Neodiprion lecontei: one gene and its partners. The protein of the gene in region 1 purifies or fractionates together with the protein of each later gene. This does not show direct contact. Links are inferred from orthologs where the notes say so. Each region holds a gene or a part of one and is shown on either strand. Other genes may lie near its edges. The genes, in order: probable ATP-dependent RNA helicase DDX23, U5 small nuclear ribonucleoprotein 40 kDa protein, CD2 antigen cytoplasmic tail-binding protein 2 homolog and U4/U6.U5 tri-snRNP-associated protein 1.

Region 1 (8,608 bases):
CGAGTGTGGCGTTAGGATTATAATATTTGTTACGCTCGTCCTGATGTCGCGGAACTGTTGAGTCGGCTCTAGACCATCAAATGAATGGCTAACCAACTACCTCCGGCTTCTTTGCACTATACCTATAATGTATATCGAAATTGTTAGCACTTGGTACCGCACCGCGCACGCGTTGAGAAATTCACTCGCACCAGAGTATCGCGGAGTATAACGAAAAGCCTTCCCCCTCCAAAATGCACGTTTCACGATTGTCGCGAACAACAATATTTTCCGTTCGTACAATTTATATTTAGGACGCTTCTGCCCCCCTCCAGGTTATTTCCTGAAGGCTACGTAATCCTAGTCAGGTTATATCTATATATTATTTAATTCGTGTGAACGTATGTATGCCAAAAAAAGAACCACAGAAAAACAGGCCGTTGGCTCTGTGACAACAATTTCTTTCTTTTTTTTTTACAGTATTACGCCCGTTCATGAACTTTAAAATTATTCTCCATTCGTAACGATCGAAGGATGAGTATCGTATGTTTGCCATTGTTGCATATTGGAGGGAGGAGTTGGATTTTAGCGCCGAGATTTTTAGAAGGGATAAATATAGAATCAGAAATGCATCGAGCTTGTTTCTGGTCAAGGATGCTTGTCCGTTGCATGCCGTCGATTGATCGCTAGCAAATTGTTAATTACCTACCGGATTCACGGCGAAGAGATTTAAAAAATGGGTTCAACCAATGGGTATGTAGCTTTATTGTAGTTGGGCAACTTTTTTTTAACTTGATGGCGGTTGATACGCGGAAAAATTCAAATTTGTTTAATCACTTTTTATGGATATAATTGGAATACGGAGCATGACGTATGGAAACTAGTCTCGTGAACCAATATAACTTCAAACGAATACGCCGAAATATCTACATATATATCACATACATTATATCTATTGCAAATGTACACATGAAATTTATTGTAAAATATTATCGACGGACTCAATCACATGTAAAAGATTGAATCGAATTGTAAACATTAAAGAAGGAAACGCAATACATTTATGCAAATATCTTCTCTTCCCGCCTCTTCTTGGTGACCACAGTACCAGGCTTATGCTGGGCGTCGGGATGGTTGAGTAATTCCGGTGGGCACGTAGAGATAGGACTGCCCAGAATAGTCTGTTTTAAATCGTAGAACAAGTGGCTGTCGTCCTTTGTGCAGAAAGATATAGCAAGACCGGCTTTTCCCGCACGTCCGGTTCTACCGATACGATGAGTGTAATCTGATGAAAAAATGAGAAGCCATTAACGATGTTAAAATTTTGGAATTCTCATCGGAAGGATTTAAAATTCCAGAATAATTTACCTTCGATAGTTTTAGCCATGTCGTAATTTATAACCATTGATACATCTTTGATGTCGATACCACGACCAGCAACATCCGTGGCAACCAAAATATCCTTGCTACCACCTTTGAGAGATGCGAGGGCGTATTCTCTTTGTTCCTGACCTTTGCCACCATGCAAAGTGCAGGCATTGTACTGTGAATAAAAAATATTTAATAATGAAAGCATTCTATTGGACAATTTTCCTTACACATGTAGTATGAGTTTCCAGAGTCTTACCCCAAGTTTCTCAAGTCCTCTTGCCAAAACGTCGGCACCCTTCTTTTGGTTTACGAATATAATAACAGGCGGCTCGACACCACGGCTCAGTATTTCCATTAGCTTTCTTCTCTTGTCTGCCTCTCCCATTATATGAACTATTTGCTCTGTTCTTTCCGTTGGTTTTCCAACGCTGCCGATATAGACGACAGCAGGTCTCCTGAGATATGTTCTGGCAAGTCGTTCAACAGCTGCGGGCATTGTAGCCGTGAACATCACAGTCTGAAAAATTAAAATTTTTGTGATGTACTATTTTTTTTCCATGACAAATAAAAATCCAGAAAACAGATTCTATTTATTATCATAGGAAGGGACTTAAAAGATATTCGCCACCCACCTGTCGGTATTTTTTCTTAGTATTGTAATTGGCCAACAATTTTTCTTCATTCTCAGCATCTTCGTTGTCTGGTTTCAAATTTGTCACCGGCATGTATTCCAGGATCTTTTGAACGTCTGAGCGGGACAAAGAAGGCAAGGTAAGTATGTGTTTTATATTTCTCTGAGAGCTAAGAAGAGCAAAGTGTTGCTCACCTGGTTCAAATCCCATGTCTATCATTCTATCAGCTTCGTCGAGAACAATATATGTGCACTGATTCAAAACCAAATATCGATTCTCCAGGACATCTATCAATCTACCAGGGGTAGCGATGACTATCTGAAACAGTTTAATATCAAAAAATGAGTTAATTATAAGTTAAAAATTAACTTTCATTTGCATAAACGCGCAAATGTCTTATTTCATCGTACCTCACAACCCATTCGTAATCTGAACCCTTGCTCTTCTCTTGATAGACCACCAACAACAACAACAACCCTGATGCCAAGGGGTTGTCCAAATTTGTTAGTTTCCTCTTCAATCTGCTGGGCCAATTCACTATGGGATTGATACAAGTTGAATCATATTCACGAATAATGTAACAACAGTCATCAATCCACTTAACTTGCCGTGCAAAAATATTTATCATCAAAAAGTATTGTTGAAAAATATCATTTGCTCTTTTGTTTAACTCACCGAGTCGGGGCTAGAATTATGCTGTAAGGTCCTTGGTCGGCTTCTTCAAGTCTCTCAATTTTCGGAAGGCTTGTAATCCAAAGGAGCAGGGGAATTAGGAAAGCCAACGTTTTACCAGAACCAGTTTCCGCAACACCAATAATGTCTCGATTTTGTAGCCCAATAGGAATAGCCTGTCTTTGAATTGGCGTTAGGTCTTTATAGCCAACTTTATCAATAATATCCAAAATTTCTTTAGGAAAACCAGACTCTTTCCAAGATCGTATGGGATCAGGAATGCGGCCACCTTTTATTGTTATATTATAGTCTTCACGAAATATTCGCCAATCTCTCTCTGTCATTTCCTCAATTGATTTCTCAGACCAGTGACGATCATCCCATTTTTGTTTCTCTTCCTTCTTCTTAACTTTCTTCAGCCGCATTCTTAATGGGGGCAAATAAGTGAATTATTCATTTTTATATTAAAAAAATTAACTACTTTGTAAGTTCTATAAGTATAATACCACTAGCATCTTACTTTTCTTGTTCCTTTTCAGCATCAGTACGTCTTTTTTCCAACAATTCACCATAGAATTTACTTTGATCTCGCTTCTGTGCCTTTATATCAATTCCAGCAAGATTTCCACGACCAAAAAATTGCACCTGGTGTCGTTCCTTGTATATGTTATTATAATCCACCGAAGTATCCTCGGAAATGTCCCAATCAAACACAAACTTTCGATCGTTTAACCTTCTCACTCTACGCTTCTTTTTAATTAATCCCAAGTAGCGTTCTTTGATTGCCTCTACCTCCTTTTCTTTGTCTTTGTCTTTGACCTCGTCGTCTCTGGATCGCGCTGCCTCTCTACGCCTGAAAATTATTTATATTAGAAATCATACTGAATATCGTAACATAACTCAGTTTAATGCAATTCACCATCTACCGAAATAAAACAACTCTGAAGCTCTTTTTACTTGTCTCGATCATCCCATTCACGGTCCCTGTCTTTGCCAGTGCTAGGCCCATCATTTTTAAAAGCATTTTTCCTTTCTTCTTCCTGTCGTTTCCTGATGGAATCAACTTCCTCCTGTCTTTTTTTCAGAGCTAGTGCAGCACGTTCTTCTTTACTCAAAAACTTGGGCTTAGCTCTTGCTTCTTCTGCAGCCTTTTTTTTTGCCAGCAATTCCTCCAAGCTGAGGGGCTCAGCCTTGGCGGGCAACTTTGGTTTTTCCTCTGTTTCATCGTCACTTTTTTTAACATCACTTCTGCTCTCCCTTCTAGCATCATCTTCCACAGAAAACATTGGACTGAGTTTATGTTTTTTCTCATCTTTACCTCGATCCTTACCATCTTTACGTTCCCTCGACTTCTCTCTCTCCCTGGACCGCTCTCGTTCTCTCGTTCTGTCTAAATCTCTCTCCCGAGATCTGTCTCGCTCGCGTGAACGTTCTCGAGACTTTGAACGCTTCCTGTCCTTCTTCCGATCCTTGGATCGGCTTCTCGATCTCCGTCGCTCCCTCGTTTCTCGTCGCTCACGTTCTCTCTCGCGTTCTCTATCCCTTTCTCTGGATCTACTCCGCCTGACAGGTTTTTTCTCGTGAACCATGGCAGAGAAGTAACCCTGAGAGAATTTTAAAACACAATAACGAAGACAATATTATCGTTGGCCGAGTTTGTTTTACATGTATATTTGCTCAACAAGTGAAAAGAAGAGAATTCTTCATAATCTGTCTACTGTCACCATTGCCGCTTGGCTGTGCAGATACGCATTAATTTTACTTTGAATCGTGAAGAATTTTTGAAAAAAATACCTTGTTCCTTAGGTTCGAGTCAACAGAGACAGTTATCGCGCATGAAACAACTTTCTTTAGTCCATCGTGAAACTGTATAATTAATATTTAACCTATTCAACGAATAAATGGAACAACGTTTTCTCGACGTCCTGGAACACAGAATAAAAAATTGTAGAAAGAAGTCGAATCCGATTTTAGAGTAGTATACGCTCTAAGGATTACGTTTACCTATCGAAATATATCCATAGAGCACAAAATGTTGCATAGAGCGGTATGCGAGAATGGACGGTTATCCAGAGGCGAGTCTCCTCTCGGGTGGAGGAAACGAACGATCACGGGTTAAAGTTAGCAGTAAATCGCAGCTGACTGTGACAAAATGGTAGGGCATTCTCGGTTAACGAGAGGTGATCAAATTGTATATATTGCCGCGTAAGGAACAATGAACGTTGATAGCCATGGTCAAGTACAACAGCCGGCATTAAAAAGCTCGAAATCTGTAAATATAATAGATGATAGCTTGATCGGCAGTAAGAAAATAAAACGAGAAAGACCTGACGTTTACAGTGACAATGGGGGGCAGCCGCCGATCGGTGACAGTAGTGGCTCTCAACAGAACAGAATATTCAGCTACAACAATACATCGTCCTTGTGCGTTAACAATGGTCCTCATCAAGCCGGTGAACTCGTCAAAGATATTCTCGCCGGGAAAATGACAAGCATCGCCCCCAGTCCCGTCGATAAACATGATAAAATTAAACAAATGCTAGAAGATGCCATCAGGTCAGTTTCATTCGAACATTTCAAATATTTCTTTTCATTCACTCCCCACTTATGCCGGTGTCACTTATATTTTCCGTAATTTTTATCAACGCTGTTTGGCGGTGTATGTACATATACTTATGCATTTCCCGGCATAATCTTGCTTTATCGATCAATCGGTATTTCCATCTTTTGTTCACCCTAATCCCGATTCTTTGACAAATTTCGATTTGTTACAGCAGATTATTTACTCAATTGAATAATTTTATCATTGCCCACTGTCATTACGTTCTCCTCTTACAGACGATTTTCATATCACTTATCAATATTTTGACCCGTGAAACGCATTTTTATAATATTTTTAACCTATATTATTTACTTTTTTAATTAACTCTTACTGTGAAAAAAAAATCGCGATTCATGAAGCAACTTTATGTATACAATTATGTACAGTATTCAGTGATATATGTATAGGTATATGTATATAATGCATTGGAAAAATTATTTGTTGTGTTGCATGTGTTAGCAAAAAACTTACTCCTTTATCTATTCAACAGTGACGACTCGAAATGTAGAGTACAAGGAATTTACTTACAAGTAGAACAATTGCGGATAGAAGAAAAGCTCCTGTTGTACTTGAAATTACCAGCTTCGTTGACCAAGTCTGGTGAGAACGTGGATCCTTTGAGACAGCCTTTAAATCCTCTAGGAAACCGCTATGAAATTCACCAGACCATAATGTGGATAAAAACTCATCTTGAAGAAGATCCAGACGTCTCTTTACCTAAGCAAGAAGTTTACGACGAGTACAAGTGGGTCCTTAGTTGAATATGTTTTGGAGTGCAGTTAAGCCCTAATTTTTATTCAAAGTACTGGTAAATACAAAGAATAAGCTGAAATAAACTGATCCGCACTACCTCTTATTTTAGCATGTTCTGCATAAAGAATTCTATGAAGCCTCTGTCCACTGCTGACTTTGGAAAAGTGATGAAACAAGTTTACCCCCGAGTTAGGCCGCGGCGCCTCGGAACACGCGGTAACTCTCGCTACTGTTACGCAGGAATGAGGAAGAAGATTAAACTGGATCCGCCGATGCTGCCTCCTATAACCGGAGAACAACCGGTGAATTAGCTACATATTATAGACACAGATTTGGACAATGTTTTACTTTTAAAAAAAAAAAAAAAAAAACAAAAGTATAACATTACAGAAAGCGTCCCAGAATCACCGTATTAGTCGCAATTTCATATGTATTAGTTCTACCGTCTTCAAAGTTCACTAACACCACCCATGTGTTTCACATAGATCGACGAGGAAGATGAGATCACTGAAGAGATGCTCGGTGCTGCTTCAACGCTGATAAGGGAATGGGCGGAAAGTTTACTTGGCTTGAAGTTCCCTTCGCTCAGTGCTTTAGCTCGGCATTTGGTGAACAATCTTTGCGTAGACACACGGTCACTGGCCGCGGTATGCATTTTGTGCGCTGCCTCAGATCCCCAGACTGTAGGTAACAAAGGTTAGTCAAGAACTATCTAGCGATCCTAATGTCGTTTAAGCATCGCGAATAGCGTTCTCTTCTTTGAAACACATTTGAAGCAAGAAAGCATCAGAAATCCCAATTTTACAAATTCATGTAAACTCGTTTCAATTTGATAGAAGCTCCGTCACCATCACCAACAATACTGAGCAGTGAAAAACCGGGAAAACTTAGGGAAGCCCAGTTGCAGCTACAACGCAAATTGCAGCTCCGTGAGCATATAAGGGAGCAAAAACTTCGTAATCATGACGCAATTACGCAGGTAATGTGAACTGATAATAATGCTATCCACTAATTTTCCGACCTCGACAATGCAAGAAATAATTCCGAATGTTGATATGTCTAAGTTTAGTGCAAGTGTTTTGCCGATAGCAAAAATAATTTTCAACTGTATTTCAGAATCAGAACAAAGAGAAGACTGTAGATATTAAGGGAGGGGGGGGAAAGGGCAGCAAGAAGAATAAAGCGAGTCAGTCATTACAAGGTACAGGAGGAGGTCCGTTAGCGGTGCGAACCATACCAACCAAGTGTAATTTATCTGTTGTAACGACGAGTCGGCACAAAAAGGTTCTTAAATCAACTAGCAACAACTACGCGTGCAACAGCATCTCCCTGCAATCTAACTGTGATAATATAGTGGTAAAAACGAGCGAAGTCGCGTCTCGTAACAACGAGACGAAGGCGGTTGTTACTAGTACAGCAATATCGTCTAAAGACCCTAAAATAAGAAATCCTCGGAAGCGTGCCAATTTGAACGTAGGATCTATGAAATCTGAATCAGTTGTAGAAAAACAGCCAAAATTATTAAACTCACCGGATACCGTACAAACGGTGAATAACAACCCGCTGCCAAGACTTGCGTCGATTCAGAGGACTGGTGGTAGAAAATCGGCAGTGTCTGCAAACAGCGTAAAATTGACAAAATTCAAAGTGATACAGGCCACTTTTAATCAGCCTGAGGAAAACTGTGATATCCAATCTTCTAATCGGTCTAACAATTGCGCCAAGCTGAACGGTTGCCAGAATGTCTCTGATATAACCGACGTCTCGACAATAGCTAACAAACAGCCTCAGCAATCGCAAGAGAGTTCCAAAACTACGAATAAAACGAGCAAAACCTGCACCCTTGACTCCGACGCTCTGGACGACTATTTAAACGGAGGAAATAACTCTCAAGAGCAGGAAGAAGAGCTTTTACAGTATTTTCAACAGAGCAGCTCCTCCAGCTCTGACACAGAAGTGAACAGCTTATCGACAGATGTCGATCTTGTATCAAGATCCGACAAAGTATCCCAGTTACGATTAATCCTCCAGCAAAATTTGAAAGTAAACGCGACTGGACATTCAACAGCGGAAGATCCCGTCACCGTTCTTAGTCCAGGAATAAACTTGGCATTGGAAAAGGCTGGCATCGCGTCCAAACCCAACGCAATATTGTCTTCGCTCCTCAACTATCCGAGCCAATCGGGTACCAGGCGTCGAGTAAGTTTTGAAACGAACGTGGTGGAGCACTTCCAAGATCATAGCAGTCAGGTTTCGACGGTCCCTCAAAGTCCAAACACGCGCCGGAGGATATTCAACTTCACCCCAATTTCCCCTGGTCCTTTATCCCCGATCAACGGACGTGCTTCCAAGCCCAACTCCGCCAATGGAAGTCCCTTTGTCTCTCCTAGAAACACACCCGTTCCTCGTTCGCGGAGTAACGTTCAATCGAATGTCTCCAGATCCCGTACCTCCCAGAAACCGTTCTCTAGGTCGATGTCTTGCAGCACGCCTTACACGAACAGAAACGACATATTTGTCGTGCCTACAGAAATAACCAGGCCCATATCAGCTTCTCAGTCACCTCCGAGCGGCGGTAAATTGAACGACCTGCAAACGC
Region 2 (5,189 bases), on another chromosome or scaffold:
CTTCAACAGTCTTGCATTGTTTAACGCACCTTTGGAAAAGCCATTGAATTTATCTTCAGTACGTTTAAGCATTGAGTCATATTCTCGATTGAACTGAGCTTGCAACGTTTGTGCAATCACTGCATCACTATCCGTGTCATCGAGCTCTAATAATCCGCACTCTTCTGGTGTTGGTTCTGGCATTACCAGGTCTGCGTGTTTACGGATTTCTCTGAAAAATAATAAATATCAAACTTGTGTAAGGAAAAACACTAAATGTAACGCAGAACTCGTAATGGCATCAGGAAACTTGAACAGTAGATAACTATTTACTTTTCTTGTAAGTCTTTAGCCACTTCCTCTGACATTATTTCAGTAAGACTGACTGCTGTCGCGGGTGGTTGAATTTTACCCCACGGTGATGACATCTTGATGATAATAATTTAAATTTATAATTAGATATAAATATTAATAATATAAACTGAAACACAAAACGATGTATCAGTGGACTGTGATTTTGTTGGCGTTAACTTACACAAACGCAATTCGAAAATGTTATTCAGTCGTCAATCGATTGCGCCATAATTGTACATATACATACTGTAAGAATACGTTGGAAAGACCTTGTCGAGGGTGAATTGATCTATGCATATTTCTACATACTATTTATGACAGAGTACAATCCTGTATTACGTTAAAGTAATCTTACCTCAAAATAAATTCGAATATTACAATTTGAACAAGTAGTCTTACTGATTTTTAACCAAGGAGTGAACTAAGTTTTTATTGCGTTGACACTGGTAATGGCTTCCAACAATACGCGGATAGGCCTCACAGGTGGCAGGTCCAGCGCCACGGTTTTCAAACGTCAAACATGTCATTGTCGTAGAAACAGAATATCTTGTGGGTGGGAACGTATTTTACGATGCTCATTCGCCGGATGAAATACGGAAGAGCATCTTCGGCACAGAAATATCCGGGAAAATCTTAGCCTTTGTATTTAATCCTTGCAGTGAATCTGGATTTTTTTCTCATGATTTGAGGTATTACAAAAATCTTTTACTCATAAATTTCCGGACAGATGAAATAGTTTTGAACGTGTTAATATGGTGAGATTCGGTGTTTTAGAACAGCTAGAAAGAAAAAAACGTCATAATTGAAATACAAGGTACTGATTTATTGACAATGAAGTTTGGAAAATCATATCGTATCTCCTTAAAAGTAATGTTTAGAATCTCAAGGGCAGTATTCAGCCTTCAATTTCTCCAAGGTATATCTGTTTGTCACTGGAGCCGGAAACAACTGAAACATGAGAATTATATTAGACTCCCGCCTGCACAAGATGAATTGCTTTTACTTACCGATTGGTTCTTTTGGATGAAAATCAACATCGTTAATTGATCCATTATGACCAGGGAGCTTGTAAAGGATACGTCGGCTTGTCGTGTCCCAGATATAGTGAAATCTATCTGACGATCCTGAAGACACTTTGCTGCCATCTGGTGACCATGCACACCTCAGAAGGTTCTGCAAAGCATTGTTCAATCAACATTACGAAAATTGGACAATTGCATAAAAAGAAAATGAAAAAATGCTATGTGGTTTAACTTCACCTTCTCGAAATTATGCTGATGGCCGGATAAAATTTTTACACATCTTTCATAGGGTCCAAAAGGACGGACGTCCCATATTTTAAGGGTGTTGTCCATTGAATTCGATAATATGTAAGAACCATCTGGACTCAGGCTCAAACCAGTAACCGTATCTGTGTGACCCTTCAATCTATAGAGCACTGCGTTTTTTCGTAAGTCCCAAACTTTAATGTCGTTGTCAATACCCCCGCTGATGACTTGTTCCGCTGTATCATTGAATGTCACAGCAGTTACCTATACATACAAAAGTAAAAATAACTCTGAGACGTATACAGATCAGAGTAAGGAGAGAAAGTAAAAATTTAAGAACATTGTACAAATGGTTTTATGCATATTATTTGTGTAATCGATCTATAGCAACAGTAATGAATGTTGTCTGTCTCTACTCCTGAGATGGCACTCTAAACTCAATGTGTGGATAAATCACGATTATTATGTATCTAAAACTCTATAAAACTACTGTAGGTTCGATGGAAATATCACTAATATTTGGGTTATCGATTTCTTTCTATACTTGGCATTTGATTGGAAGAGCTTTTAGCTTCTGTGATCCATCTGATGAATTTCTGACTGATTTAAAATTCATTGATAAAACCGTATCCACGTCTTATCTGATATACAAGACACAATGCATACCTGGTAGGTATTATTAAGAGTCTGACACTGGCCCCTTTTTCTTGGATCCCAGACACGAATAGTGCTATCATCACTGCCAGAACAAAGTTGTGTAGGTCCTCTCCGAGCTCCGGATATAGAATTAACAAACGATGTGTGTCCTTTGAGTTTCTTTATTCTGTATCCAGATCCGAGATCCCAGAGTCCCAGGGTCATATCTGTGCTTGCAGTGTACAAGTTACTGCCATCTGGGCTGAAGTGCATTTCCATCACTGCGCCGCTATGGCCCGACATTACAGCAATGTTCTCACATTCGCCATAGACGTTCCATATAACTGTTATCATGGGGCAGTTTTATAATATAATAATTGAATATATATTAGAGTTTATCCGACATGCAATATTGAAACATGTTGCATAGTATTTACTCACATATTTGTCTGTCAAAACCCGTCGATGCGAGGTATTGACCCTCCGGATGAAACTCAACAGAGAAAATATCTCCTTGGTGTCCTTCAAGGAGCATAATCGGCGCCATAAGTGATGAAGTTCTGGGAGGGCCCTGTGATAAGAATTATCCGATTTAGTTCCAAGTAATAAAAGTGTCTCAATTCGTCTCTCAGAGAAATATAAGTGAGGTTATATTTACACTTTGGATCACCGCCTTTTCTCTACTGCTGAAAACCACTTCATTTTTCGTCCTTTTCGAAGCTGGCACCAATGCTAGAATCTCATCACCTTTTCTCTTGTCTAAGATTGGCATTGTTATTGTAAAATTGTCAAATGTCTGTTCACAAACAACAAACCAGCGAGCAGCCGAACTGTGCGTATATCATCCCAAAGTAAAAAGACACTAGCGTTTTGTGATTGCGAATTGGGTGGTACGCTGACATCTGTGCAACAGCCGGTCAGTATGGGTTGTGCTTTACTTACTGATGCGAGGTCTTCCGTTGTTTTTCTATGTGACGCACCGATGATTGGTACACACGATTGTTTTTGTTATGAATCGCTGACATCAGGACGATATTAGTAGTTGAACAAGTAAAAAATAAGGCAAGTATTGATATTGTATAATTTATTAAATACTTAGATTACTTAAATATCTATTTACTTTGCACAGTAGCATTAATTTTCATCTATTTAGATTTTAATGTTTTAAACATTATCATCGCAGTGCCAACATTTACCGTATTAAGAGGACGAAAAGATTGGCAACATCAAGTATGTACATGTTTATTCTGTATCAGTTACCTGAGGATACTAAACTGATTTGATCTATATAAATAATAGGAAATAACATTTTTATCGCGCTATACATACGTTCGTAGATGCGTTCAACAGTTGAACGAGTACATTTAACGACGGCAAATATAACTCAGTTTGTGTATTCTTTTGTACATTTTCAAATCTACGGAATAGTACATACATACGTATGTAACATAGGTATATACTTATCGCGAAGCAAACTTATTTTACACGCAAAGTAATCTACAGTGTTGCAAGCTGGAAAATTATGTTATAAAATTGGTGCTACTTAAGTGATCCGCAAAATCAATTAAATGTTATTATCCACAAAAAATGTACACAGGACAATCCACTTGTCGCATACCCCATGATGGCTCTTAGGGATGATCTAAAGTAGGCTTGTAGAATTGATGAGTGTAATTTCTCAGCACATTGATTCTTTATAGGAGCATCGTCGTTGGATTTTCCATGAAACTTTTGAATGCTGTGAGCCATTGAGCTCCAACCGCTCCATCCACAGTGCGATGATCACAGCTGGCTGTAACGCTCATGAAGTTTGCAGTTTCGAATCTGTGAAATTTGAACAGTAACAATATGATGGAAAAAAGTGCTCGATTAACTGAAAATAAGTCTAATAAGACTAGTTTAGGTACTATTAGGAGATTTCTTAGTTTACCCTTTTTCGTTTTTCGCTGGAATCAATCGAGATTCGGTCGTACCAACAGCCAGAATGATGGACTGTGGTGGATTTATGATTGCGGAGAAGGTTTTAATACCGAACATTCCTAAGTTTGATACAGTAATCGTTCCACCTTGGAATTCGTTAGGCTGTAGCTTCCCATCTCTCGCCTTTGCTGCCAACGCTTTCACTTCTTTGCTGATTTGTACAATACCCTTTGTGTCAGCTGCGAATACAATCGGAGTGATAAGACCATTGTCTGTACTTACAGCGACGCTTACATCCACATTGTGATACCTGAAGAGGAGGAAAAGAAAATGTAATATTAATTTAGTTGAGATGCCTAGGTTAGGAAATTCATTGTTTTGGTATACAATTGGTACGAAACACTACTTATTTCATTCTGCGATCACTCCCGTTCAATTATAAATTACTTTTCATATCATTATGAGAACTCACTGTCTAATGACATCCCCAAGCCAAGCAGTGTTGCCATCAGGAACTTTTTTCGAAGCCATTGCGATGCCTTTGATGATGATGTCATTTACGCTAAGTTTCACTTGCTCTTTTTCTAACATTTTGTTGAATTGTTCCCTCATTTGTAAGGCAGCGTCCATCTTAATGTCAACTGTCAAATAATAGTGTGGAATATTCTGTTTGCTTTCAAGCAATCGTTTTGCTATTACCCCTCGGATATTTGACACTGGAATATCTGTGTATACACCTCCAGCTGCAGGTGCTGAAGTTGGCGCGCCAACAGACGAAGAGGGAGCTGCAGCAGAAGCACCTGCAAGGTCTTTGGAAGTCACTGAAGCGTATAATCCTGAACCCTTGAGACCCTATTTGAGACAGAAAATCCATTACCTTCGAAACTAAAAGTATCCTGAGATTCAGAAGAGCTGTTACTAAACATTTCTTCTTCACTAATATCCTACATATTAGAAAAAAATTCTTTGTTTCTAAGCAACAAAACTATTACTACAGTTTGATAAATCTATTTTTTCACCTCTTCAATTTGT
Region 3 (9,113 bases), on another chromosome or scaffold:
CTAAAATGGTTATCGCAACACTGTAAAAGTTAGCCTTAAGCAACTAGTTAGCAACTTTCGAAATGGTAATACCTTACTTTACTACATTTTTTTAAGTTTTCTAATGTTACATAATCTGCCTATATATAATCTGCTTAAAATATTTTAGGTATAAAATTTCAATTTAGATTTCACGAACTTTTGTGGCAGCACAAACGGTGTTCGAAGTTACAACCAACAATTTCGGACGAGTTCACTCAGAATTTTTTAAGTTAAATACACAGATTTTTTTCAACTGGAAATCAAGATTGGATAGTTTTTACTGTTTTTGATGTTTTTTTCTTCTGATTCGAAAAATTTACATGATAATGCTAAGCTTTTCTGTGACAGTGAAAGAAAATGTATAAGCAGAAATAATAATCTGTTCAATTGCAGAGATATTGGCAGATATCTTGCGTTTTAATATGTACTGTCTGTCAATTTTTTAAGTTTAAATTTTTATTCTATTAATAACCGAAGCACAGTATCACTTGCGTAAACCACGTATTTAGCTTATTTTTAAATTGCGAATAATTATGGGATAAAAAATTCAACAAACACTGCTGGCGATTTGAAACAGAAAAAAATGTTGTTTAGTTAACAATGCCGTAAATGGATATCGTACGATATGCGTACATTTCATATCACTTCATATTTATCGGATTCTGAATAATATCAAAAGCAGCATTAGGTAAATCGTTTTTTTATTTTCTCTTTCTACTTCCCTGCAAATTATACTTCACTTATCAAGTCACAAGCGTTCCATACTATAAATATAATTCAAAGTCGACCCTCGCTGCACTGTAAAATTGCCCTTGTTGACCAGTTCGTCGTACCCAAGCACCAGATTTAAAATATCCCTCCTTGGACCAAGCTTGCATTTGCTCCGTTGAGTGAGGTCCGTGAACCTCAGCTGTTTCATTCTGCGACCACTTCAGCTCCCATGTTACCATGTCTTCTTCAAGATCCTGCTTAACTTCTGTCGAACTCGCTTTTGATTTCTCAACTTCCATCGCCGACGAATCTTCAAAAATAATCATTCATTAGAATCTGTAATTATGGGGTGGAAGTTCGTAAAGTTAATGTAGCAATACAAATTGGAAAAAAAATGCTAGGTATTCCGAATTTAAGGATTATACGAATTTCATCAAACCACGATAAAGTAATACATAGTCTTTTTTTGAAAATCTAAATCCCCCAAAACTATTCTATAATTATCAAAAACTGATTTTTGTTTAAATGATTCGTTACATTAACGTTATTAACTTCAACCTCGTCTATAATTTACATACTAATTTTCAGGAATACTTTTTGAAATCTTAATTCTGATGTTGTCTCGAATAGAACAATTCTCAGGGGTAATTTTTTTTCCTTAAAGAAACGTGGAATATCATAATACAATTATACTTTCATCAGATCTGTTTGAAATGAAAACAAAATTTCGTATCGTGAGGTAAAAAATACCTGTTGGAATATTATACTTATAATTTACGCCTAATTACCGCCCAAAGGTTTACAAATCTTGCCACAGAAAGATGCATGACCTCAAATACTTGCTCACAATTAGTGTATATTACACTATTCTATCTTCAAATTGAAATGAGCTTGCAAATGCAGTTAATTCAACGGTAATTGTAAAACAATCGAATTAAATTAACTGAGAATTACTTTAAATAATTTATAAATATTGAATCTATGTCTAGCATTTTGATATTCTCGTTTAGGATCGATTTTCGATATTTACTTATATTGAATAAATGTAATAATTGGCACTGTTACACATAACTCAATGAGAACTTACCACCAGGAGCTGCATTTTCGTCAAGCTTGGCTTTTTCTTTAACATCAAAATCGTCGGAGTACATATCCAATTCCGCTTCCTGTTTCGATGGATGAGCCTGTTTCCCACTCGTCTCAATCTGCAGTGTCCCAAAAAATTATATAAATTACGAAAACGTACGTCGCGAGGATGAGTATTGAATTTTACTCCAAAAACTCAATGGGGATAAGAACAATTTCGAGTCTAACTTCACACATGTGTCTTGTACAAATCAAGCATTTCATACCAATTCGACCAGCGATCGACAGAATTCTGAAGAAAATAACAAGCTGTTTTGAATGAATTTGAAAATTATAACATGCAAAAAAAATATGAAAAACCCTACAAGTTTACAAAACTTGGTAAAATGAACATAAGTTTCTTGCATTTCTCGAAACCTGACACCCATTTAAATTTCGAAGGATACTCCTATGTAGTGTAAATAAACAAGTGCAAAGTTCAGCATGGAGTTGAAATTAGTTTGAACTTACTTTTATTACTACTATTATCTGTATAAATTATGATTATTGTAATATAAATATTACGTATATAGTATATAATAAAAATGTTCAATATAATAATTTAATACCTATATTTCAGAGCTGTTTCGTATGACTTGATGACAACATAACGTGATACAATACTTTTTATAATTATGAAGGAAAAAAAAAAATTCATAACTTTCAAACTAAATCTGAACCCATGACGAAAATTACACATATTTTCTTAGACCAAATCGAGTGTTCTTTGGAATTTTCAGTAGAAAAGAAACATGGTTTTTGGGAAATTTAGGATACTAACTTTTTAATTAATTTTTGTCAACTTTTAGGGGTTTCTATATTGTTTCCCTGTTGCAATTCGTCAAAATGATGAATACATCGGTTTTTGCGACGGCAAATGTTTTAGTTAGAGATCCAAATGGTATAATTATTTTGTGCTAAAGAATGTAATACGTTAAAAAGTCAAGATGGTATAGAATGGCTTACATGCAGTGTTTTCTCAATGCAATAAATACAGTTACATGTTAAGTAATCAAACTTACTGAGGATACTTATAAAAACAGTGCATACCTTTTTTTTAATTTGTTCATAACTTTCCTCGTATATATCCATGTTACCGGTCCGTGTCAAAAGTTCGTTTGCAAACTCTGTTAACTGTGTTATTTTTTCAGCATTTTCATTAGTTTCTATACCGGCTTGTGCTTCTTTTTTCTTTTTCCATCGTTCTGCAGTGGTCATTCTTTTGTTTCCTTTGCCTAAATATCATGGAAAATCATAGGTGAATATACTGCACGAAGAACTGTCAGTTGCATCAAAACAGCAACTTTTAGGTAAAATCATAACGAGAAATGCCTACTGTATTTGTTATCATGAAATGTGTTGAATCAAAACTTTGACAACAACCAGGTATATATCTTGTGAATCCGAAAAATAGGTGAAATCAATTTGTATTATAATTTGGAAATAAAATCCAACTATTCGACGGGGATGCGACACAATTTGTTTGAATACTTCTCTACTTTTGATTAGAAAACGATGGTGGGCCGTACTTCGAAGAAATCCATAAGCTTTGAATTCTCTACAAATTTTTCTCGAATTTGATACGTGACTTTTCACTTTCAATTCATTATAATTTACTGCTACTTATTTAGACATAATACATTGTGAAGTAATTTACTTGTTTGTTTAAATAATTTTTTTTCATGCGTTTCCTTTTCCTCCTCAATATTGTTCACTACTTCCGACATTTGTCTAGCATGACAATTTGCCACCGTCTTAAAAATGACCAAAAATAATTGATTGTGTATTAAATCGATTGTTGTATCCCGATTATCAAGTATCATCGCAAACTTGATTAGCGACCAACTCAGTTATTTATCCTCACAATCAGTTTTTGTTTTTTACTTCCATGAATGATGCAATATGATATTAATTTATCTGATTAAAGTATGAATTATTATCATTGTCTTACTTAGTAGGTACCTATTTGATATAATAGGTGAAAAATAAATGAATATTTTCACCTTAAATTGAAAAATATTTTTAATGAAACTATAAGTTCTGAAAAAACTTTTCCGCTATTATAGCTATAAGACTATATACTGAAATTTACGGAATTTTGGTTTCACATACACCGTTTCAGCAAACTTCGAGATAATCGATTAATCGATTAATTTTTACCGATTCCATCGAGCCTTATTCAATTATTTTTTTGGACTCGATTAATCGATACATCGATTATATTTAGCTTAGTGGCCATCGCTACACTGTCTTCTCTCTTTAAACATCTAACGAACTAAACTAAGTTGTAGAGGGCTGGAAGTACTATCACCTGGTCATACCTACTGCAAAAAAGCTAAGCTCTTTTGTCCATCGAGTTAGTTTATCATTTTAATTCATTTTATTAGGTGGGTGGAGAGATTTGGGGGGGGGGGGTTTGTTTTATCCCACAATGATTTTACTAGAAACACTAAAAAAAATTTGTCAAAACAATATTCAATAAACCCTTGAATGCAAAAAATTATATTATCAAACGCTGATCAATTAGTTTTTACCTAGTCTGCGAAGTGCTTTTGATACAGTTTCCCCAGGACGCAAATACTCGAGAATTTTTTTGTACAATGGCACGCTGTCAAACATTACTTCTTGTTCATCATCCTCGCTATCGCTGTCCGCCAATCCTTTGATTTTGTCACTTGTTTTATTGCTTGTACCTTCGCGTCCCCCAGATTTAATCTGTAACCCAATTTAGGCATTATTGTTTTTATTTTTATTATTATCAGAGCTTACATTATTAACAAACTAGTTGTTGTTATTATTGCCATGATTATGCGTTTCACACAGAACTATGAAAGTATAATTGAAAGATCCGTTTCATTTTTGGCTTTCTATTTCCCTTATAAAGTTTTTGATTTTGCAGTCACAAATAAAAAGAAGAGTTTCCATGATGCTATAGTTTGTCACTATTTTCGATATCGGTATTTCGCACCATTAACATTGTCTGAAATTTGATGAACCGTAACAAAGCCAAACATAAAACTTAAATTTTGCATAAGATTGAAGTTAATAACATTAAAAAATTTAGAATCATTGCAAAATACGAGTACAACTAGCTTTATTACAGTTCACAGTTTCAAAAGTTCCGTTGTAAGATTACGAATTTTCTAAAAAATTAATGAATTCGAAACTTGTATTAATTTTCCAACTTAAGATATTTTCGTAAAAATCTCATTGTATAATAGTCGAGTAGAATAGAGTATTTTTAACAAAATAAATACATTAGTAGCGGAATTTGATTTTTGAGCAGTGTTAACAACCTGAACCCAGTCAATGTTGTCAAGCCAATTGTCTCTGATCTGCTTTTCCTTGTTCCAGAGGTAATGACCATCCTTATCAAAGTGTCCCTCTTCCAATTCCTCCTTCATATTGAATGCTGTGAAGCCTACATCTGTCTCTGCTGCTACGGGATCGTCTTCCGTTCCTTTATAATAAAAGATTTCAAGTGAACACGAATTTCAAAGATTTAGAAAAGAATCGTATATAATTATTATTACTACTTAATTTGAATGAAATAGACAATATGAGAGAAAAACTGGAAAAGTGGCCCTGCTGAAAGACTTTGATCAGAACATTCATCAAAAGATTCTAAACAAATATTACAAATTTGAAGTTCATCACATTATTGTGACGATGCATTTTGTAAGAAACTTTGTTGAATTACAACATTAGCATTGCTCCAAATTATATAAACCTTAACGACGCCAGTGTGAAGCTCGTGTTTTGTAAACTTGACTCATTCAAAGTTGTTTCAAAGTTGCTATATTTGTTTTTTTTTTCTAACTTTTCATTGCATTAAAGTTACTAACTTTAATCTCGCATATTATAGAGAGGAATTCAGACACAATTTATCATCATTTGTATCATATTTTTGAATCCTATTCTAGGATATTCCTTAACATTAAAGTCTATTGAACTATTAAACTAAATAGAATTATTGGATGCGATTCGTAAACTAATGGCAATGTTGCGCACCTTCAAAGTCATCCTCATTCATGACATTGTAATTATCCTCATTGGCTTCTTCGTCCTCCTCATCAGAGTCTAAAGAATTCTTGACGGTCGGTTCTGTTTTCGCCCTACTATCCTTCCAGTCTTCACTCAGTACATCCTCGAGCTTACGCTTAGACATGTTATTCTTTCAAAGTTTTCCTAACGATTGATGTTATTCAATAAATCATAAGACTTTGCAAAGTTGTCAATTGCTTTGATGCGGTTAGTTTCAACTATGAGATAGTGGTGGATGATATAAGAATAATGTTCAAGCGTGTTATGATGGTGACAATGTTTTCATCCGGACGTTCAGTCACGCAGAAGAACGGATATTGTTGAATTGTTCATCTATACTTATTGTTGACCATCTCTCGCACAATATTACAACTTCTGAATCATGTGAAGTGAGTAAACGAAAAAAATTCCAAACACCCACAACATTCTTTCATTAACTAAGAATCACGTAGTCCGACAACGACTGCCAGATATACGCTGGTTTTTCACGTGCAGCATACAGCTTGGATGCGTTTCGATAATTTACTCCCAGTGCGTCAACAATCTTTTATCTCTTTTGCGCTACCGAGTTTTTAGCGCTGAGAGCTAATTTCGGAACGCACCCTTGAGCGCAAGACCGTCCGAATTGGCTATCTCCTTAGGGTGAATTCACATTTTATGGAGGAAGTCTAGTATACCCTTTCGTGCAAGCGTAAAATGGTATAGAGAGAGAAGTAGTAATGGCGCTGCAAGGGTTCTCTGTGTTGCCAACATAACTGTCAAGTTTAAAAAATTAGCCGTCTACACGGTCTTATTGTCCCCAAATGTACCTGTTACTAAATCAAGCCGTTGAATCGTCGCGTTTCTATCAGACTTCGGCGAAAATGCCCATTCCACATTTATAAATTGTATCGTTGCATTTAAAAATATGCTAAACATTGATATTATTGACTGTTTGTTTCAATAACCTGACCTACCAGGCACCAATGTATAATATGTATTTATATAATCTGGATTATTTCAACGCAATGCTCGAGGCACTCAATTACGATAGGTACGCTCTTGCTGTAGAAAGAGAGCGCATGTAGCATTACGACATCTCTCTCGCTCACTGGCTCGGGGACCTTTCTTTAGCGTCGATGCATCCTCTATGTCTATATGCTCTAAGGTTAGGCACCGCGGCACGGATCATGGTTCAGAGGTAACCAATCAAAATGCCTAAAATATAGGAAAATGTAAAAAGTGAAGGGTGGCGATCGTAACCTGTGAACATCCGTGCTACAAACATACTCCGTAAATTCGTAAAATACGCATTTGAAGTGAATGAAAACTGAGTAATTACTTTTCCAACTGACATTTGAATCTGAAGAAAAGGTGGCAAACGGCGAATTATAAGATACCGGACGGGGCGGGGGGGGGGGGGGAGAGCGCTATACGGGCTTACCCCGCAAGAGGCGCTTCAATCGCAACGTGACTATTCCTCATACAAGTTACGTTGCCGCAAAACTAGTCCAACGTTTGAGCCGAACGGTGCTTCAGTGTCGTCTCCTGCCGACTGCTCCGTGATTAAGTGTTACCGGTGTTACCGCAGATGAAACTCTAACCTCAAACAACAGACAACCGTGCAAAACAGTCGCTTACTCAACTATGCCATAATTAGTACGGCACGTTTCAAATATTGCTACAAAAGTTTAAATAATGTTTAAGCTAGTCAGAAATTATTCAAAATTATCTTCTCCAAAAGTCCGCCAAAAATTGACAGCAACGAATACAAAATCTCCAAACCCACCACCAAACGAATTGCCAGGTAACGATCACTCTAGGGATTTTTTACCGTAAACAAATGTGACATAATGAATAACAACATTGGCGATGTGTATTTGCCTGATACAGTGACTCCACTGGAGTTACTTCGATTTCACGAAAATAACACCGATGACACTTAAAAAGTACCCTGAATTTTACGTTACATGATATCAATCCTCTAAGAGTGATTGGTACTGACTGCGTTATTAACAAGTTGTTTCGTATTGTACTGTGTAAACAGAAATAAGACATGAGAATTCCCGAAAATCTTGCCATTACACAATGCAGGCTAAATTCACTCCAATCTCTTTCACGTCGCTTTAGCATATCTTTATCGCAGTCATTTAATTGTTCTAATAAACTCTGCGTAATGTTAAAATTCGGACCATTTGTAGTACACAAATTGTAGTGGTTTCTTCGAGAGTAAGTTTTTTTTGCCCCTATCTGATACATACAACTTATAATAAATTATTTTCACAAAAGGATGTTTCTAGTTTTTCAGGTGGGAGCAAAAAAAATATTTCTTAGACATCTAATGTCTTAATATAAATAATGCTGAAAATTTTTCTGTAATTTTGCATTGCAGTATTTCAATATCCAGTAAGTCAGAGTAGCGACCGCAGGGTGTACGTTTGGGGCCTTGCTGGTCATGGAGCCTTGGGACTTCAACCGCCGATCGCGAAGCGCAAGAAGTTCTTATTTTATCACAAACCGAACAGACTTCGATTTGCAGAACAGCATCGAGTGATAGATATCGAATCTGGTTATGGGTTTACGGTCTTTGCCGTTGACTCGAAAGATGGAAACATCCTTTGGGGAAATGGAATTAACACAGATTCTCAATTGGGTAAATGAACGTGAAGATGAAAATATAAATTCAATAAATGTTAGATATATCATTTAGTAGATTCCATAAGTTGGTTAAAATTTAATATCGACCAGATAACGTAATATTGTATAATTGGAAGTTGCATCTTTGTACACAACTTCTAACCCAGATGCTGTAAAAGAGGGATATCTGCAACATGGCACGTGCACGCATTTGTGCAATATGAATAAAAATTTGGGACAAAAATATTAAACTGATTGTATACGTGGGTAACTATCAATCTACATTCTGCGTTATATTTTCGATGGCATTTATCATAAACAGTAACTTGATTCTACAAGTAGTAGCCAATGGTTAGGAGTTGAAAATCGGATTTATTTAAACATTCCACACCTCTCTTTTACCTTTCATTTGAAAAAGCTGTAGGACTCAAGTCAAATGGTAAAAACAAATGAATTCCACAATTTCAAATTGAACCTTCGTCTTTGAATTTTCAGCACTGCCTGTTGTCGAGAAAAAATACGACCTACTGTGCTTTTGGCATAAAAAAGTTTGATTCTTATGATTATGTAATCATTTTTGAGATAGGTCTTCTGAA
Region 4 (9,117 bases), on another chromosome or scaffold:
TACGAAAAATGAATTTAAAAAATCTGAACCAAAAAAATAAATAAAAATCTTGGCTCAGTCAGCGAAAGTCAGTCAATCTAAGATAAGAAATACTAGTTTGAGGCTGGTATATGGAAAAATTCCTAGGTGTAGTAATCATTGCAATACTCTGCAATAGTCGAAGATTATTGCAAAATGGGTTTGGTATGTTTATAAATTTTTGCTAGTGTTTAGTACACTGTGATATATTTGTTCTTGCCGCCTTCTTACTGCAGAAGATTATATACTGTTTTACAGCAACCAAAGACTATTAGATGAAATAAAAGAAAGGGAAAACGTTACAACAAAATTGTAAGTCAGTGTCGTATATTTATTATCCGAAACAAACATTTTTGAATCATTCATTGATCTTAGTGACTTGACAAACTTTGGTAAAAATCTGAAATAGTTTGTGAAAATTTTCAGTTCGCGGCAAACTGGTTTAGTGATTTATACGCGGTTGTAAGAGATGAAGTTCACCATAAAATTGGAGTCAATCAATGGGATTCAAATACGTGATAATTTTCTGTATGCTGTTATAAAATCTGTGAAGAACATAGAATTTTGCTAACTATTGAAAAAGTTGTTTGTGATCATTTGAGATGTGCAGTTTTTGCCAATATCCTACAATATGTGCCACTATGAGAGGATAAGGAAGATTTATGACCGACACGACAATAACACAGACTGTGAAGTGGAATTCTATACTGCACAATCTTATTACAACTCAACATCTGAACTGTGCTCTGTAAATTTTGAGTGCCAATGATTTTTTTATAGCTAATAATCAACCAACTAATGAACAATGCCAGTGTATACACACAAATGGACTTTGAAACATAAGAAACCCAATTTTACTTTTAGCTTTTTTTTTTCAAACCAAATTATAAAAACCGCTTCTACCAAATCCCTAGACCAGTTTGTATAATCTTTTACATTTTTAGGCAAAATGAACGTGTCTGTAACTGCAGACATCCGTTTTGAATAGCTTTTGAATCACAAATGCGTATAATCGATCGAGATGCACAAATAAAGCTTTAATGCTAACATTAATGAACGTATGCTTCATAATTGTTATTCATTAGCATAAATTTTGTAGATCCATTGCTAATCACTATCTACATTAGATATATGTGACGGTTTTACATATGCAAAAATAACATTCAGATATTTCCCATCCCGAAAAGTCCGACTTTTTTATACTCCGAAGTTTTTGCAAACATATCTCGTGTAAATAGTGATAACAACTAGGGTAACGATTTTATGTAGAAGGCTACAATCAATCATACAATGCAGTGTAGCTAGTAAGAAACCTTTATAAGTATTTGTTATAGTTTTAATAAATGTGAACATTAATCAAAACGTTGTATTCTTCACTGTGATTCAATGTATAATTTTCTTAATAACATAATTCGAGAGTCTGGTAATGACATACAAAGTCGGATGAAAGTCCAAGTTAACGATAAATTTCAACGTCGGCATGTGTAAAATCAACTATGTATTCAGGTAAGTCGTTTATTTATTATTGAAAAAGGTTTCATTCGAGTTTTACATATACATGCATGCAAAGTGAAATAAAATGAAGGTGATCAGGTCTATTGATTGCTTGTAATCTGCAAAGTAATAACTAAAATTCCTTGCACCTAAATTGTTTTAAATGACATTTATTAATATATACTTAAAATTCAAGCATTTCTGATATATGTGTAGCAAACAGAATATACGATTTTCGGAAGATATCACTTTTTCCACGAGGCGGAATTTTTGGACATAGAGTTGAAGTATAAATTTTGCGACCAAAAAGTAAATGAACATCCTAAATTTTGGGTCACTAATTTTATTATTCTTTTTTTTACACTTTTACTATTTGTTTTAGTTTACTTCTTCGTACATTTTCTCTCAAAATTTCCTAATCATCAGTTTATGCTTCGAATATTTGTATTGCTATAGTGAATCAGTTTTCATTATTTAGAAGATTCCAGTTCATACTTTTCAAATTTCTTATTTCCTAAGAATAAATTATTACGGTTTCAATTGAATAATTGATTTGACACTGTAATGCAAACAATAAATTCTCCTAGTTTCGGTAGAGAACTCATTATCTACCGAAATTAATTTATGAACTTTAATAATTGTATCATGATATTGTGACACCTCATTACGGTGTTAAAGGTAATTGTAAGCGTCTAAACAATGGAATTATACACACATTTAAACATATGAAATTGTAAATAATACAAGGATAAAAACGGGTTTTGTATTATAAAGATGATCAAAATTTTTTTAATAGGATCTGCTGATTTATGTAATATTCTAAAGATACCTGAGAACTGAGCTTTAGAACACTCACCCTTACGCAAACCTTATCAGAGATTTAATATTACATTATGTATAATAATGTACATCTTGATTTTCCATCTTTTAATTGATAATTTTAATGCTTCGTCTTTGATATGCTCGTCCTGAAAATCGTTATATGAGCACATTACCACCAGTTTATCCATGCCTTCAGATTCTAAGTGAGTATCTTTGTGCACAACATATCATAATATGATGCATTGAAATTATTACCTACACCAAGTTATTGGAGGAAGAATTTTCTATCACACATCAACTATTGGAATGTACCGAAACTTTTCACGCAATATAAAATTGTATTAACCAAGTTATTTCCCATGAATAGCATATTGTGTAAAACTTACGTTTGCAACTGCTTGCTGCCACTCAGCACAATGTATGGAGATTGTGTTTCTTTTTGCTTAGCTTGCAATAGATTAAGTGTACCTAGTGGAGTATCAGTAGAAGACATCCGCTTCATCAATACTTCTTGCTCAGATTTCTTCATTCTCTTTTCCACCTAGTTATAAAAAGTATTAACAATTCATGGCATGAAATTATCATTGATTCATCAATGATCAGAATATACATATATAATTATATTACGCATTGCATTCAAAATCGGGTAAATAGCAGATTTATTGCAGCGCTACAAAATAGTAACTATTATAAATGAAATTCTGAATTGACATTTCCTATTATAAATTTATAAAGCTTAATATCATTAGCATGCATTGTTCTACATAAATAGATTAAAATATTTTTCAATATACCTTGTTCTTCCCAGGACCTTTACCATGAAATTTATGAGAAAGATATCGGAATGCTTCCTTGGCACTCAAAACGTGTCCATCATCGTCGATATATTCCAACTTGACATTGGGCTTAAATCCGTCTCGTTCTTTGAATTCGGAAGTTGGTCCATTAAACCTATCTCTTCTGCCAAACTTGTCATCATCCCTGCATTTATAAAATAATTAATTGATCAGAATCTTCTGAAAACAGTTACATTCAAAACAAATTAAATGGGTAAAAGTGTACAAAGAAAAGAAAAAAAACTGAAAATAATAGTATATTGGTTTAAAATAATGATTATTGTTTTATTTTTTTATCTTTGAGAAAATTCGAATGTATTATAATATCAAATATAGTACTTACCCATAAGTTTTATCTTCAATAGAATAATTTTGTGCCTGTAAATGAGCAAAACGGGATGCAGAAGGTCTGTTAGTATCCTCTTTTTGTAAATAACCTTTACTCATTGCAAGTCTTAGAGCACCGCCTACACCCTGTCCAAGCGATGGTTCTGCATCCAAAATTGCAGCCTCCAGTGTTATTGGCTCAGCTGCAGCTTCATCTTTGAGGTATGGGTAAATTTTGAGATTTTATTGAAATACTGATAAGGCATAAAGATAGTTCATAATTAAACAATTATCAGGAAAGGAAGTAGAACGTTAGTCAAGTAAATGCATTTTTACCTATTTTTACTGTATTCCAAGCTCCACGGCCATCAGCATCTTCTCCATCATCTACCGTTTCATCTTTGATCCCCTCAGCCTCAAAGTCCTGATCAACATGATGAACTGTTGCAATACTTGTTATGCATTGAAAGATTTTGAGTAGATAAATAATTACTAGAAACACGTTACCATGAGTTCTTGAACATTTTCTTCCCTGTTTCCAGCAAGCCCGTAAGTTGGAATGTCTCCTAATGTTCTACAAAATTCAGCAGTCGCATTGAGTACAATATTACCAACTTGATTGTCATTTGAATTGTCAATTTCTTGTTTTATTGTTTGAGCAACTTTTTCTACCCCAGTTTGACGTGCTAGTTTCACACGTTGTGCTTTTTTCAATGCCAACTGCCATTCGAGTTCTCTGTCATCATCTTCAATTTTAACACCCGACAAGTCTTCACTTGTATCTAAATTCCAAGGAAAATGTAATTGATGTAAATTAAATTAAAGGAAGTAGGGATTATATTGTTGAAAAATAAATTTACTTTCTGTATCATCGACATCCATAACAAGATTTTCAGGATCCTCATGATCCTTTTTTTCTTTATGTCTTGAATTCCTTCGACTTCCTAAATCTCTGAGATAATCAGTTGTATCAGGAACAAGATCGTCTGCCTTCAACATCTTTTTCTGTCTGATTTTTCGGATCTAAAAGTTGCAATTAATATAAACCATACTCTAAACACTAAATAAAATGTTCAGATAATTTTATTTTTATATTAAGTTCCATTAATCTATTGCTTTATTTCAGTATCAAGTCACATGATCTATTTTTTCCTATTTACCATGATTTTAAAACGAAAAATTATATAGAACTGACTAAATTGTTAGAATAAGTTGCGACAAAAGGTTTAGACGTTGAATACTATCTTACTTTTTTCTTGGGTTTCTTAAACTTTGCCAACTCTGCATCAGTGTAATATTCACTAGCTAACTGTAGCTCTGGCATCCTTAGTGTTTCCAATTTTTTGTTCGCTAGGCGGTGTTTTACAATTTCAGTTTGTCGTTGTTTTCGTTCTTTAGCATTATCATAACCAATGGCAAAACTTTCCTTCTTCTGTCCATCTATCTCTTCATCATATTTGTCTAGAACCGTTTTCACTGGGAATCCAAACTCATCAAAATTGTCTTCATCATACGCATCGTACCCAGGTTTTTTAGTTTTATTCAAATTACTGCGCGAATAACGCTCTTCGTCCAGCATATTTACGTTTACTAGTACATCTTCATGCTCATCTAAAACTGCCTGATCTTTGAGTGTCAGTACAAGGGTCTTGCCCTCCTCAAAAGTATCCTGTAACAAAAATAATTAAATTTCGATTTAATCATTACATGTTATTAACAAAATAAATGCAATATTTCATGGAACATGACTATATTAAATTTACAACTGCTACATTTGAAACCCATAATAAATCCTAATTACAGTAAAGATTTTTCAATTCGACAGAATATATCAAACTTACCATGTCATGTTCGACTTTGAGCCCTCGTAAATCTTTGTTCGAGTAGGCTGAACGACGTTCACTTTGAACCTCTTCCTCAACAAGAGTACCTATACCGAACTCTTCGTCCAACTGATCCAACATTTTTGCCTGAATAATGAAATTAGAAATAGTCTTTAAATGGATAGATGATCGTGCTTGACTTTCTTACATGAAAGTTTTCAAATACACATTATTAATATAATACAAGAGTGGTTGGCTCTACTTCAAGCATTAAGATTATTTAAAAATATAACATAAAATACTAATAACATCAAATGCAAATTAATTATTACAGCATTATTTCATAAGTATTTTAATTTTAAACTTGACGGTGCTGGCATAAATTGAAATAATGCCTTTAAGCTTTAGGTCAAGTATTCTGTATTTACCCTTTCATCAGCCTTCTTTTTCTCCAACTGAAGGAGACGGTTTTTTTGCACCCAAGCCTTGGCGTCATCATCTGAATCGCTTTCGCCCAAAGTTTTGAGTTTTGAAAGATTGGATTCAATCTGTCGTTTTTCCTTCTGCGTGTTCAGTCTATCTTTGATCTTTTGCGTTTTTACTTTATCGCTAGTATTTGGTGCTGGCTTGTGATAAAATTCTCCTAAATCATCTTTGATTTTGTTAGGATCATCTACAGAGGTAGTACTGGTCTCTAAAGGTTTTAGACCAAGCTTTGCTCGTAACTTATTTGTTTCTTCAACTGACAATGATGTCTGCGCTGCTCCTCCTTTGGTTGGAGATGCACTCCTTTGACGAGATATTTCTGGAGGAGGTGGTGGCGTCAGTGCATGTGGTATTCTCGATATTTTTGGAGGTGGTGGAGCGCTGACAATTTCAACTATAAACACAAGAGGATAGTTTCTTAATACACGATATTATTAAGTAGTATAAATGTACATTAAATTTGCAACTATACAATATAAAAGTAAGCGCTAATTCAACTCAATAGCGCAATAATTTTTACTAATAGACTTGGATTAGTAGTCCTCTGAAGTACATAGCACGAACATTACATTGTAAAAAATATATGAGAACTATTACGGTTTTAGGGTAGCTTTGAACAATCAGTTTTAAATCTATGCATGTGTAGGTGTTTTGGTGAAGGTTTGTTACCTTTAAAGGTGTAGGATAATAGTTACGTTTACGAAGGAAAAAACTAAAAGAGGTTAGTACCATCGCTGTCGTGATCCTTGCGTTCTCTTCTTTTATGTTTTTTGTGATGCCTATGTTTGTCGACTTTTTCACGTTCTATAGAGTGCGATCTAGAACGGCTGCGATGACGTTTTTTCTTAGTTTCACGAGTTTTTTCAGTCTTGTGCCGCTTATTAGATCCCATTTCTTTAATCTTAACACTTTAACCTATAAATTTAACTGAACGTCGAACTTCGTCTTGTGTTGAATAGACTTTATCACGATCACGAACTACTCCGTGATCATGAGATACATACAACAGAAATTACGTGTTCCACTGATGTGTTCGTAAAATCAGTGGCTGGCCAAGGTGACCTTAGAGCATGTAGAAGGCGAGTAGCTAGTTTTAAGTTTTCCCGCCTACACGCGCGACTCAATCTGGCAAGCGGTTGATAAGTAGCGGCGAAACGAACTGATGTTACCATCGCTCACCGCGTGTACGCAGATAATGCAGTGAAATATTCTTATACCTATGGAATGACGAACGGGAACAAACTGATATTTTCATATAACTCCGTATGGACGCCGTATACTTTTCAACTACGCAAATTCATTTAGGCCAAATTCGGCAATGTCAATTTAACTCCATCGGATCGACAAAATTGATGTCATCTAAATAGGCGCACAATAAACATGCACCTGATTTACTGTTAACAAAGTTAGAAACCTTTTCTTGATGCGAAGGATGGGAGATATAGTCGAAGAAGTTAATCAAAGGATGGAGATATATATTTGTTCCTATATGTACCTTATGTAATTTCTGTACATATTTTTAATACTTGACTTATACGTTTAACTGAAGATAATAATATGTATCTTCAGTCAAGGCTCATATCTTTATTCCAAAAGAAGATGCAGCTGACATATCAAAAATTTTTCCCACTCAATAAGTCATATTTTTTATTCCAACTGATTTGTGAATTGCGTTCTTGACGAATCACTTCCTTTAAATAAATTTATATGTATAATGTGACAAAACATTTCTCTTGTTCTTTTTAATTGAGTCTAAGATGCCTTTCTTTTTATATATGTGAATGTAATAATTTGTTGAAAAAAATATTTAACAGTAGATTCAGTTAAGTGGTCTAGAAATCAAGCGGGTATACAAATTTGTCATAAAAATTTTTAAATAATTTTCTACAATACACATCCAAAAGCGAAGACGGGAGTTAATTTCTTACTCTGCATTCCATCTTTTACAATGGGGCTTTTAGACAGATCACCCGTATCTCGAACATACAAAATGTGAATATAGTTCTTTTTGTTATTTTTAGTACCCGGTTAGTACTCTGACTAAACTAGAGAAATCCGAAAGTATTACGATTCCACACGCGTTACACATTATCGAAGCACGAGTTTTATTGACAATGAGTTAAATTAACACAAGATAAAATTTTCATTTGAAAAACTATAATATCTTAGTATTTGACGAGTGAAAATGAGTTCACTTATGCTCGTTTCCACACCACCGCAAGCGGTAGAGCACCCGGCGCGTTTTTTTTTTACGTGGTATCCCCAGTAGGCCTACTCCACGGAGAATACTTGCAAGATCGATCTTACGTTCTTCGAAAAATTTCAAATTACTTTTTTCATACGTTAATTACGGTTAAATGATTTTCCCAATCAATTGGTACTCGCATATGTTTGCAGTTTGTTCGAAACTTTTCAGTTCATATGACCCGTTAACTATTTATTATGGATGAAAGATGACTGTTTTAATTATGGATGAAAGATGGTTGTTTTAATTATGGATGAAGGGCGATTGTTTGTATCTTATTTTTGTATCAATAAAACTCAGTTACCTAGAACAGATTAAAATAGAATTAACGAAAAAAGGACAGTTTAATTAGTCGAAACAGACAAAAGGTTTGATTAACTGAACCCGACAAAAGTTTGATTAGCTGAAAGAGACAGAAAGTCTGATTATCTGAAACAGACAAAACATTTGATTAGCTGAAAGAGACAGAAAGTTTGATTAGCTGAAACGGACAAAAGGTTTGATTAGCTGAAATAGACAAAAGGTTTGATTAGCTGAAATAGGAAAAAAGTTTGATTAGCTGAAATAGACAAAAAGTTTGATTTGCTGAAAGAGACAGAAAGGTTGATTAGCTGAAACAGACAAAAGGTTTCATTAGCTGAAACAAACAAAAGGTTTCATTAGCTGAAAGAGACAAAAGTTTGATCAGCTGAAAGACGGAAAATTTGATTAGCTAAAACAGGCAAAAGGTTTGATTAGCTGAAACAGACAAAACATTTGATTAGCTGAAAGAGACAGAAAGTTTGATTAGCTGAAACAGACAAAAGGTTTGATTGGCTGTAATAGACAAAACGTTTGATTAGCTGAAACGGACAAAATGTTTGCTTAGCTGAAACGGACAAAAAGTTTGATTAGCTGAAATAGACAAAAGGTTTGATTTTCTGAAAGATACAGAAAATTGGATTATCTAAAACAGACAAAAGGTTTGATTAGCTGAAACAGACAAAAGGTTTGTTAACTGAAACAAACAAAAAGTTTGATTAGCTGAAATAGACAAAAAGTTTAGTTAGCTGAAATAGACAAAAGA

Evidence for each region.
Region 2: the proteins of probable ATP-dependent RNA helicase DDX23 (region 1) and U5 small nuclear ribonucleoprotein 40 kDa protein purify together in Homo sapiens (affinity purification with mass spectrometry; 3 studies listed by BioGRID and IntAct, counting the BioPlex papers as one, with this or other methods). This does not show direct contact. The link is inferred for Neodiprion lecontei from reciprocal best matches to the Homo sapiens genes DDX23 and SNRNP40.
Region 3: the proteins of probable ATP-dependent RNA helicase DDX23 (region 1) and CD2 antigen cytoplasmic tail-binding protein 2 homolog purify together in Homo sapiens (affinity purification with mass spectrometry; 6 studies listed by BioGRID and IntAct, counting the BioPlex papers as one, with this or other methods). This does not show direct contact. The link is inferred for Neodiprion lecontei from reciprocal best matches to the Homo sapiens genes DDX23 and CD2BP2.
Region 4: the proteins of probable ATP-dependent RNA helicase DDX23 (region 1) and U4/U6.U5 tri-snRNP-associated protein 1 purify together in Homo sapiens (affinity purification with mass spectrometry; 3 studies listed by BioGRID and IntAct, counting the BioPlex papers as one, with this or other methods). This does not show direct contact. The link is inferred for Neodiprion lecontei from reciprocal best matches to the Homo sapiens genes DDX23 and SART1.

What each region holds. Positions count from the first base shown.
Region 1 is NC_060263.1:14,775,899-14,784,506, reverse strand, and holds probable ATP-dependent RNA helicase DDX23, read right to left. Parts: upstream 5,747-8,608; intron 5,211-5,746; coding exon of another isoform or gene 4,870-5,210; exon of another isoform or gene 4,767-4,869; intron 4,611-4,766; exon of another isoform or gene 4,449-4,610; intron 4,259-4,448; 5' UTR 4,244-4,258; coding exon 3,612-4,243; intron 3,508-3,611; coding exon 3,175-3,507; intron 3,081-3,174; coding exon 2,658-3,080; intron 2,520-2,657; coding exon 2,393-2,519; intron 2,301-2,392; coding exon 2,177-2,300; intron 2,099-2,176; coding exon 1,983-2,098; intron 1,868-1,982; coding exon 1,607-1,867; intron 1,523-1,606; coding exon 1,348-1,522; intron 1,265-1,347; coding exon 1,041-1,264; 3' UTR 931-1,040; downstream 1-930. Other genes in the region: uncharacterized protein LOC107221402, read left to right, coding at 4,870-5,210, 5,747-6,001, 6,119-6,311, 6,495-6,705, 6,846-6,988, 7,126-8,608. UniProt on the Homo sapiens protein: Involved in pre-mRNA splicing and its phosphorylated form (by SRPK2) is required for spliceosomal B complex formation.
Region 2 is NC_060260.1:29,794,211-29,799,399, reverse strand, and holds U5 small nuclear ribonucleoprotein 40 kDa protein, read right to left. Parts: upstream 3,126-5,189; 5' UTR 3,010-3,125; coding exon 2,896-3,009; intron 2,809-2,895; coding exon 2,679-2,808; intron 2,582-2,678; coding exon 2,268-2,581; intron 1,866-2,267; coding exon 1,593-1,865; intron 1,507-1,592; coding exon 1,341-1,506; intron 1,282-1,340; coding exon 1,229-1,281; 3' UTR 1,136-1,228; downstream 1-1,135. Other genes in the region: serine/threonine-protein kinase RIO3, read right to left, coding at 30-211, 313-407; dihydrolipoyllysine-residue acetyltransferase component of pyruvate dehydrogenase complex, mitochondrial, read right to left, coding at 3,932-4,061, 4,168-4,467, 4,630-5,009. UniProt on the Homo sapiens protein: Required for pre-mRNA splicing as component of the activated spliceosome. Component of the U5 small nuclear ribonucleoprotein (snRNP) complex and the U4/U6-U5 tri-snRNP complex, building blocks of the spliceosome.
Region 3 is NC_060264.1:18,405,402-18,414,514, forward strand, and holds CD2 antigen cytoplasmic tail-binding protein 2 homolog, read right to left. Parts: upstream 6,582-9,113; 5' UTR 6,026-6,581; coding exon 5,869-6,025; intron 5,318-5,868; coding exon 5,154-5,317; intron 4,573-5,153; coding exon 4,392-4,572; intron 3,093-4,391; coding exon 2,908-3,092; intron 1,938-2,907; coding exon 1,820-1,937; intron 1,043-1,819; coding exon 786-1,042; 3' UTR 706-785; downstream 1-705. Other genes in the region: RCC1-like G exchanging factor-like protein, read left to right, coding at 7,579-7,687, 8,273-8,533. UniProt on the Homo sapiens protein: Involved in pre-mRNA splicing as component of the U5 snRNP complex that is involved in spliceosome assembly.
Region 4 is NC_060262.1:28,399,579-28,408,695, forward strand, and holds U4/U6.U5 tri-snRNP-associated protein 1, read right to left. Parts: upstream 6,785-9,117; 5' UTR 6,699-6,784; coding exon 6,536-6,698; intron 6,201-6,535; coding exon 5,749-6,200; intron 5,468-5,748; coding exon 5,339-5,467; intron 5,167-5,338; coding exon 4,747-5,166; intron 4,521-4,746; coding exon 4,358-4,520; intron 4,280-4,357; coding exon 4,005-4,279; intron 3,922-4,004; coding exon 3,834-3,921; intron 3,713-3,833; coding exon 3,514-3,712; intron 3,316-3,513; coding exon 3,129-3,315; intron 2,876-3,128; coding exon 2,721-2,875; intron 2,481-2,720; coding exon 2,453-2,480; 3' UTR 644-2,452; downstream 1-643. UniProt on the Homo sapiens protein: Plays a role in mRNA splicing as a component of the U4/U6-U5 tri-snRNP, one of the building blocks of the spliceosome. May also bind to DNA.